2 linked regions of the Rattus norvegicus genome follow. The protein of the gene in region 1 interacts with the protein of each later gene in a pairwise test. Links are inferred from orthologs where the notes say so. Each region holds a gene or a part of one and is shown on either strand. Other genes may lie near its edges.

Region 1 (5,057 bases):
AGACGGTCCAAATGTTCTCTGCTATAGGTGAGCCTACTCCCGCTTGCTCCCTCCCTCCGTCAGACGGAAACCAGAACCTCTCTTCTGGATGAGAGCAGCACCACTGAGCTGTAACCCCAGAATTTGCTCTATCTTTTCAGTCGTTTCAAGTGATCGTGTATGTAAGTCTGTGAGTGCACTAAAGCTATGTGCAGAAGACAGAGGATGGCTTCTGGGAGCCATTTCTGTCTGTCTGTCTCTCTCCTTTTAAAACCATGTCAGTCAAAGAGATCACGTTGGTTGATAAGTGACTACCTGCTGAGCTTCCTGCCCCTCCCCCATTCTTTTTTATTTTTCTCTTGAGGAAGTGCCCTGTCTGGGATGTAGCTCAGTGGGTAGCACTTGCTCAGTGTGAACAAGGCCCTGGGTCTAATCCCAGCACGGCATAAACTAAACATGGCTATCTGCCCTTGCAATTGTGGCGCTTGCGTGGTGGGAGCAGAAAACAAGAAGTTCTGGGTCATTCTCAGCCACTTATCAAGTTGAAGTCCGGAACACAGGAAACCCTGACTCAGAGGGAGAGCTGCAATGTCGCTGAGGTTGGTTTCCAACTCCTGGGGTTAAGCAACCTCCCTTCCTCAACCTCCACATCATGGCTGTGTCTCACTAGAAGCCTAAGCCGTGGTCTGTTTTGGGGATACCTATACGAATGTCATGGAACACCTACGCTAACATCGTCAGGGTACCGAATTATGTTAGATTCTCTGCTCCAGTCTTACACACTTTCCGAGACTCCTGGAGCTCCAGTGTAAGAAGCCCTCATGGAATTCCACAAGCCCGCACTCCTCTCGGTGCAGAACTCCCACTGTCCTGAATTGTGTGGCTGACCCCGTGATCCTGACTGGCCTCCCAGTAAAGGTTTCTGCTTCTAGGGGTAGGAGTGGGGTAACCTAGCTTCCACCTTGAAAGCAAACACAGTCTTTTCTCCAAGGCCCAGCCTTGGCCTTTCTTAGAGTCTGTCTTCTTGGCCCTTCTCCAATCACCGTCTCTGTCTGGCCAGGCCCTTTGGCACTCAGCAGCCTGGCTCTTGTTTCTGGCTAATCTGTTCTACAGCTTAAAATTTCTCTATTCTCCCACCATAACAATTCCTCGAAGGTGGGGACAGCTGAAACAAGGAAACCCCTTGATCTCCACAGTCACCAGCCTGCTCCACAAGCCCACGCCCCACACTTAGTGCGAGTCCAAAGGCCCTTATCTTGAACGTGGCTTTCAATCCTTACTAGAGGCTGTCTTTCCTATCTAGTTTCAAGTTCCTCGGTCCCGCCGAATCAACCTCTTTTTTTCGGAGCTGGGGACCGAACCCAGGGCCTTGCACTTGCTAGGCAAGTGCTCTACAACTGAGCTAAATCCCCAACCCCTCGAATCAACCTCTTAAAGTTCTTTCAGATTCAACTTAATGCTGCACTATCAAGCAGGATTTTAATCTCTTCTTCCCTAACCTTGAGCTAATCTCCTGTCTTCTCTCTGCACACATCTATAGTGACTGGTGCTCGCTTTTGAACTTTTATTAGATTTAGTCTAAGCCACTCTCCCCGTTCAAACCAGGGGACTATTTATCCTCACCCTCACAACCATCTTTCAACTTCTTTCGAGTCCTGGCTGCCAGGCGTGAAAAGGCAGAGAATGTACAAAAGTCGCGATCCAGAAGCAGACACTCTCCAGTAAACGACCTTGAACGTGTGCCCTCAGGGCAGCTCTCTTAACTGTTGGTGGCCTTAGGCAAGCGGTGTCTGGTCTCACAACACCCTGCCGGGCGCCGCCAGAACCCGGGGTTAAATGCAACCAAACAAGCTAGAGCTGCCCTGGGGGAGGCGGGCTATGCTGTCATATGATTCTCTAATCACATGATCCCTAGAAATGGGGTGTGGGGAGACAGAGGAAAGGGAGGAGGAATGTGAAATGAGTAGAAAAAGAAACACAGCATTCCTGGAGAGTCCCGCCTCTACGTAGACAAGTAACCAATGAAAGCCCTGGATCTCTGAGCCATGGCTAATGGAAATTGAGGTGGGCGGGCCATCGCGCGGCCAAGCCCTAGTCCTGGAGCTGACCGCCAGATGCCTCCCAGGGAGCGCGGACCCCGACGCAGGTAGGAGGATCCTTTGCAGATATCTCCCCCGCTACTGTCCAGAGGCCTGACCAGGCTGCTGTGCAATTGAGGGTCCTCTGGAGTCTCAGCTCAGAGACAAGAGAAGACCTGCCTCTTGAAACTCCTCTAGGGGTTTCTGATGCACTAACGAGGTTTTTTTTTCTTTTCTTTTTTTTTTTGGGGGGGGGGACGAGCGGTTGTCGTAGATACCCCCAGTAAGAGGCTCCTCTTGCCCAGCATGTTGGAAAGCTGCAGGCCTTTCTCCAGGGCAGGAACCACCCCACTCTTGGGCCAGCTCCTCTGTCTGTACCTGCCACCTGTCTCCAGGTCCCGGCTCTTTCTCTTTCTGATGCTGCAAGTGGTCTCCGCGGCGGCGTGCAGTGGGTGGGGAGTCTCCCGCCCTTGGTCCCCAGAGCTCAGAAGGGTTGGGGGCAGGACCCGGGCCTGATGGCTGAATCCCTGGGTTGTGTCAGTTGTATTTCCTTTCTTGGGGGCGAGAGAGCTAACTTCCGCCTGCCTCTCCCCGCCACTTTTCCCTGCTCCTTCTCATTAGGATTGGCTCACCTTTTCGGAAATTCATCTCCCCTTGACACTCGGAGATGGGGGGTGCCACCTAGTGGAAGATGCCGGAGCTAGGGCTTTGAAAGGCTCCGGTTCTCCCTGGCTGTGTAATGTAGAGGTGGTCAGGGGCTCACCACTCCCCAGTCCTATTGAGAGGAATTGGGTCTCCCTTACCCCTTCCTGGTTAGGAAATGGCCTCTGGGATTTTTTTTTTTATGTGGGTGGGGGTTAGGTTAAAGAGCACTTGGAAGGACCTAAAAAAGGAAAGAGAGGGGGTTGGGGGAGACGACAGATCCTTCTATGTAGCCTAGGCTGGCCTGGGATTCACCTTGTAGCCCAGGCTGCCCTCGGATTCACCTTGTAGCCCAAGTTGGCCTGGCACTTGCAACCCTCCTACCTCAGCCTCTCAAATGCTGGGATCAAAAGCATGCCTGCCATGCGTGGGTGGCATTTCCTGCCTTTTGTAGCCACCAGTGTCCAGGCAGAGATTGAAGACTTGAGACACAGGGAAGGAACAATTTCTGAGGCCCTCAGTCATAGATTAGAGTGTTACTTCCAGGACTAAAACCCAACTGCAGCTTCAACGAAGTCCCTGTACCCACCCTGCTTCTATCCTGCTTGGGTCACCTGCCAAGAAATCTTCTGCCCCATCCCTCTGCACCTCTGGCCTCTGGGAATCAGGGTCCTTCCCTGGCAATGACCAGAGACAACGGTTGGCATATGAACCCAGTCTAATACCCTGTCTTTTCCCCCCTGGCTTGATCCTTAGGCATGGATTTGAAAAGTGAAAGTAATATTTTAATTATTGCTTTTCATAGATTGCTGAGAAATACAGTGAGAGGGGAAAATGGCTCCCTGGAGGGTCTTTGAATATTACTGGGTTTGCTGCTCTAGGCAGAATAACATCTTTCTGGGTTGCTGGGTAGACCATCTGAGCTGGGAAAAGGCTTATAGGGAAGTGAGAGGTTCAGTTCCTCCTGCTGAGGCAGAGAGTCAGTGAAGAGGTCCACTGGTTCTTCCCACTTGCAGCTGAGTTTCGATTTCTGATCAGGGAGAGACAGAGGCAGTCTGTTTGAGGAGTCCAAAAGGACCCTGGTGATGTCCGGAAGGCCTCATCATGAAGTTAGCTTTGAGGCTGACCTAGCCTCTGTGTCCCCTTCCCTTGAGTGGGGTGGGGACAGTTGTGGGTAGGCAGTGGCTGGCCCATAGGGAAGCCAGCCCAGACCCCACTGGCCACAGTACTTCTGTTTTTACAACTTTCTCCACCGCTAGGTTTCCCATATGATCATGTGACTGATGACTCTGTCCCCCAAGGCCTTTGAAAGCTACAGGTGGCAGACAGTTTGGTACCAGGCCGGGGTGGAGTTAGGCGGGCGGGATGGTGTGGGGCTGGCTTCCTCTTATGGCTGCTAAAGTCTCTTCTGCCTCCCAATTAGTCCTCAGTTCCATAAATCAAAGCCACAAAAGCCACATGCCTTCCCGACTGTCATAACCCCCTCCCCTCCTCTCCACGCACTCAGACTCTCAGGCGTTAGGCCATATGAATCGACACTGGTGTTCCTGCCAACATTCATGCTCACAGTGAGTGCAAGCTGACACACGAGTGCCGTGCACGGGTAGGGCGCTGACTCGAGCGACACATCTGCCTGCTTTCCCGTTGAGAATGCTCAATAAACCCAAGGCCTTGGCCTGAGCACAGGGGAATGCACAGCCTTGGAGTAGAAGGTGGCACAGGCTTCAAGATGGCTGCCAGACTTTGCTTGGCATTTGCAGGCAGACCATGTGGATCCTGGTGAGCTGGCTGGCCTTAGTGGCAAGGCTGGTGGCTGGAACACAGTGCCCAGATGGTCAATTCTGCCCTGTTGCCTGCTGCCTTGACCAGGGAGGAGCCAACTACAGCTGCTGTAACCCTCTTCTGGTGAGTGTCTCATGCCCCAGTTGGCAGCCTGGGCTTTCTGAAGGACTGTCTACCTCAGATTGGCCAGAGGACTGGCACAGATCCTTTGATTGATGTCATCTCTTCTTTCCAGGACACATGGCCTATAATAACGAGCCGTCGTCTAGATGGCTCCTGCCAGATCCGTGACCACTGTCCTGATGGCTACTCTTGTCTTCTCACTGTGTCTGGGACTTCCAGCTGCTGCCCGTTCTCTGAGGTGAGGCCGCCATTGGCTTAGGGGAACAGGAGATTGATTAAGATCTGCATTTACCCCTTTCCTTCACTCTTCTAGTCCCAGGCAAAAGGGTCTTGCTCACACAGGTGTCTCTTCGTCCATAGGGTGTATCTTGTGATGATGGCCAGCACTGCTGCCCCCGGGGCTTCCACTGTAGTGTGGATGGGAAATCCTGCTCTCAGATATCAGGTGCTGTG
Region 2 (4,824 bases), on another chromosome or scaffold:
GTCACACACTGGAGCCCAGGTGTTTCATACATAGATCTGCAGGGTGCTTCTGAGACCAGCACTGTGCATGTAACAGATGTGGGCTGAGGAGCTGACAGTGAGGATGTTCGCAGTCTGCCCAACAGGTATATTCTCCCAGAAAATGGAGATCTTAGCAATGATTTTCAGGTCTCTAGCCAACATTATAAAGGAATTATCACCACATCACAGCTGCTGACTGTCTGGTTTCCTGTGCATTTCTACAACACAGTGCTTTGGTGGAAAAGAATTATGTTTCTATTAGATGATCAAAAAAAAAAAAATAGCAGAAGAAGATAGAGATGAGAATTTTTACAACCAGAACAGTCAATAGAAACCAGTCAGCATGAGTGTTGGTCCCCAGGGCTGGTGTTTGCTCTTTCTTGAATCCCACCAGGTCTTACTGCTTTATCTCCCTAACCTTTAGGGAGTAAAGTCCAGAAGGACAGAGTGCACCCACAGGCCTCTCCCACTCCTACCCCCAAGAGACTTCTATGACTTCGCAGACCCCACTGCAGAAGCCTGAGCCTGCCTAGCAGAAGTCTCCAGTGCTTTGTGCTCTCCTGGAAGGAGGAAACGGAGGACCATTTCTCTCTTTAATATCATTTCAGGAGGAGGGAAAAATCCCTGAGCCACAAGGCATCGATTCAGAGAACCTATTTTGTTTACTTGCCTCAAAGCCCACACGAAGCACAGTCCTCATCCAGCCAATGGCTTTCCATGTTCCCACCACTGGACAGCATTTCTTCTGGGGTTTCTTCCTCTCCCAGGTCAATCCCAAAAAAGGAAAATGGCGGTTGCAGCAGGGCATGTGAGCCAGGTGAAGAAAGACACTTTCAATCTGAAGTTAAAGTGTCATTTAAACTTGTGTGATCTGTTTTTATAAGCAAGGCTCTCCTGGGCTACACTTGGATGATGATGCAAAAATAATTCCAGAAAGTGGGGGTTTGGGGATTAGGAAAAGAAGTTCAACTGAAGGACTTTCATTTACATTTCAAAGGTGCCTTGGCCTCTGGAGGATGTTTGTGCTCTGGGGCTGACTGAGGTGGCCCTGTACCATCCTCTTCCTCCTATTGGAAGACCTGTAAAGTCTGGTGGGGAATCAAAGGCCCTTGGCACACCAGTGCCACTTTCCAAGTGGCATTTCAGAGGCAGGCAACCTAGGAGACAGCCAGGCCACCGGGCAGGAAGGTTCCTTGTGTCCATGATGTATCTATATCATGAGTAGCGTGTATTATACACTGGGTAAGAAATCACAACCTACATATTACAGGACTAGTTTGAAACTCTGCCTGCCACTCAGTTCATTTAGCTGTTCTTGGGCTGATGCCAGGGCAAGCCATGCCTCGGAGGAACAGACAGCCAGTAAGCATGGCCTCCAGGGACCAGGACTCTGCGGTTCAAGAGACAGGCACGGTTGGTGGTCCTGTCTGCCTCTCCGGGAGGTGGTGGTGGGGGCACAGCCCTCCTCCCTCTGCAGCCTGCAGTTGGTCCAGATGGGAAGGACACTTCTGGGGATAACCTGGAGACTCCTCTGTCCCTGAAGGCTATCTGCTGGCACGATGTGCAGGGCAGGCGGATGCGCGGCGGGGCGGGGAGCGTGGCGCGGCCAGGGCGCTTGGCCCCTCCTGGCTGGAGCTGCGCGCACGGCCGCCTGGCGCCCTTCCAGCGCGGCGCACTCACGCGGGCGGCCGAGGAGGAGGCTCCAGCCTGACTGACGCCTCTGGAGCCGCTGTCTCGGTCCCGCCGCCGCCCGGCCGGCCCTGCAGCTACCCGCACAACCGGAGTGCGCGGGGGCACGCGTGGCACTGCGCGGACAGGTAAGCGCTGCCATGCCGCGGGCGTGGGCACTCGGGAAGCCCCTGTGGTCCTCGGGCGTGGGGCTTGGCTCTCCATGGAGCCTGGGTGGTGTCTGTAGTGTGCGAGGGCTCCGCGGCATCCTGGCACCTGGAACACATTGCAGGACGCGTGGCCCGAGGCGTGGGCAGGGATGTGGGATGCGCGTGGGCAGAGTGCAGAAGTGCAGAAGTGTCCTGCACCTAGAGACAGTCACCCTGGAGCTCAGCTCTGGGAAGTAGCCCTTTGCTGGGGAGAGTGACAGGAGAGAGGCTAGTGTGCGTAAGGTAGTCATTGTGACTCTGGGGGAGATTTTAAAACTCCAGGGCACCCTTGGCTACGAAGGCTTATTTCATATTCCTGTAATTTTTTTTCTTCTCTGCTTACCTTTGAGGCACACACAGTGAGAAAGAGAGGGAAAAAGTTAGGAATGTTAAGTGTCTGTAGCTAGCACTTGGGTTGTGTTTGTCTTCTCCTGGGCCTACCATTGGGTGCCAGCGCTGCGCAGACGGGAGGGGGGCGAGGTGGGGACAGATGCAGGCGACTGACTGACGCCGGCCTTGTGGGAGGAGGAGTGTGGGGAACCTTCTTATGGGTGGCTAATCGCTGCACTTCTTACTCCCTCCCCTGTCCCCTCCCTTGACCATGGCAATTGAAAATGATAGTTTTGAGGTCCTCCGTTAGCATATTTCTGGGCTGGAACTGGTACTCATTGAGAAATAACCTACAAATGATGTGGATCTCTTTTTGGAAACAAATTGTATGTAATTCGGTCGAATGCACAGCCACAGAAGACTAGGAATCACTTTTCCTTTTAGGATGACCGTTCGGTGGTTTGCTGACTTTCTGTAAAAAAAATGTAATTAGCAACCAGAGTGGAGAATAACAGTAGTCTTCGGCCCTTTAAGTGATGCCTCTTCCTAGGCCATTCCCCGGGAATATTTGTGGTTGTGAAATGTGCTAGCATGCCTGTCAATGAGAGGGAATGCCTTCGGATGTTTACATGGAAGGACTATCCATCTATATGTAAAAAGGAAGTCAAAATACAGCCCGAACCCACTCTATAGCAAATGACTAGGATTCAATGCTCTGCCTTTAGAGAACATGATTCTGGATCACTTTCAAGTCTGTGGTTGGTTATTCAAGGACATCGCTGTTAAGAAACCGGGGTGGCGGTTTATAAATAAGGAACCTTTAAAATATGATAAGATTATCAAAGCGCCAAATATTTCTGAAAACATATGTGTAGTGGCAAGGTTCCTTGATGACAAGGCGGCTTCCTGCAAGCCAGCATCTGCTGAGTCTGTCCTGACACTAAGGTCCCCACTTTACTCTTCGTCAGGGTGCTCCCCTCTCCTCCCCTTGCCCCCTACCTCCAGCCAGTTTGAGCTATGCTTTGGAGAATGCTTGCACAGTCTGGATCCAGCCAGCTCACTTAACCAGTAGCATTTTCTGAAAATCAGAGACAAATTAAAGTTAACCTCAAGCACTTGACAAGTCTTTTAAAGTCAGCGAGAGACACTTGGTGTTTTCTTTATTAAATAATTTTTTTTCCTTTTACTGACATATTCCCCAGTTAATGAGCAAATCAGAAAATATTCACCAGTATCCAAGCTACTGCATCTCTGATAACCTAAGACAGAGGAAGGAAAAAGAAACATTTCCATTATAGGAAACTTCGTCACAGTTATCTAAGCACTGCAGAAATGGTAAATTTTGTGTATCTTTTCTGATCATGTGGTCAAATTGGAGGAGAGAAAAAAAAACCCCAAGAAACTATTCTTTCATATCCATGAAAGAATTTAATATCAGCTTTACAAATAATGGAGCTCTGATGGACAGGAGTGCAATGTGTTTTGCCAAGCTGGAGAGAGATGGATGGTCACTGCCTGCCGCATTAAGGCAGCTGATTACATCTGACCTTCCCTCCCTCTCTAGTACAAGAACACAGTCTCATCATCATGCTCCTATATGATCTAAATCATACTTACCCAGGGGTATGCTCCAGTGGTGGGAAGCTCAGGGCTATGATAGAAACATTCCTGTTTTATTTTTTGAAACATGGCATTAAATCCTAATGTTTTAACAGAGCTTAGTGTGGACTTCTGTTTATTCTTGTGCGGACCGAGGAATTCAGAAACGGCTGTATCCAGAATAAACCAGTAAACTGGGTGGAGGTTGAAAGTGCGGATCCCCTCAAATTGTTGCGATCCTCGACTGTTGGGGTGTTGGTCCCTTTGTGATTTTTGTCAGTGATTTGGAAAGTCGCCTAAGTTTTATTTTGATGCCGTGAGCAGGCAGTAGGGTGTTGTGTTAACCTGGTGAAGGTCTGTGTAAGAACAGGGACAGAGTAAAGTAAACAGATATTCCCTGGCAGTGAACTAACCTCTAAAAGCAAATACTCCTGGAAATTATGTCTGTGCCGACCCAAGTCATTAGGATTTTAAGAATAATGCCAGCATTAAATGCTATCAGGACCATGACAACTGGGTACTCATCTTGATGTGTCTTCACCCTGCTAGCAGTTGAAACCTAGATTCCCCCCTGGTCTGCCTCACACAGGGTGCCCTCTGCCAGACTTACTTTTTCATGCCTCCCATTGGGGTTTCAAGAGTGAGTTACAGTTTCCCATGCACACCAGACTTTCCTCTTATCGGCCTATTTCCCTGAACCTAGGCTCAGTCTCAGAAAGCCTCTCCCTCTGCCCTCGTCTCCCACCAGAGCCCCGTATTTGCTGGACAACTCCTCATTTTGTAGATTCTGTCCAAGTGCTACCGGCAGGATTTTCTCTGATAACCTTAGTGGGGGGGATGTCCTCCGGTGAGCCCTTTGACTCTCCTGTGTGGCTTTGCAGAACATGCTCTAACAACACTTACTCTTCCTCTCAGGTGGTCCTTAAAGGTCAGGAGGGAACTGAGCTTCCTCTGCCTTCTCCCCCTTTACTGTTGACTGCAGTGCCTGGCTCAGGAC

Evidence for each region.
Region 2: the proteins of Grn (region 1) and Smad9 interact in binary tests that used the Homo sapiens proteins (3 or more experiments, as listed by UniProt). The link is inferred for Rattus norvegicus from reciprocal best matches to the Homo sapiens genes GRN and SMAD9.

What each region holds. Positions count from the first base shown.
Region 1 is NC_086028.1:87,885,758-87,890,814, forward strand, and holds the start of Grn (progranulin isoform a precursor), read left to right. Parts: upstream 1-2,076; 5' UTR 2,077-2,093; coding exon 2,094-2,125; exon of another isoform or gene 2,126-2,277; intron 2,278-4,459; coding exon 4,460-4,604; intron 4,605-4,716; coding exon 4,717-4,842; intron 4,843-4,964; coding exon 4,965-5,049; intron 5,050-5,057. UniProt on the Homo sapiens protein: Secreted protein that acts as a key regulator of lysosomal function and as a growth factor involved in inflammation, wound healing and cell proliferation. Regulates protein trafficking to lysosomes, and also the activity of lysosomal enzymes.
Region 2 is NC_086020.1:141,104,979-141,109,802, forward strand, and holds the start of Smad9 (mothers against decapentaplegic homolog 9), read left to right. Parts: upstream 1-1,689; 5' UTR 1,690-1,838; intron 1,839-4,824. UniProt on the Homo sapiens protein: Transcriptional modulator activated by BMP (bone morphogenetic proteins) type 1 receptor kinase. SMAD9 is a receptor-regulated SMAD (R-SMAD).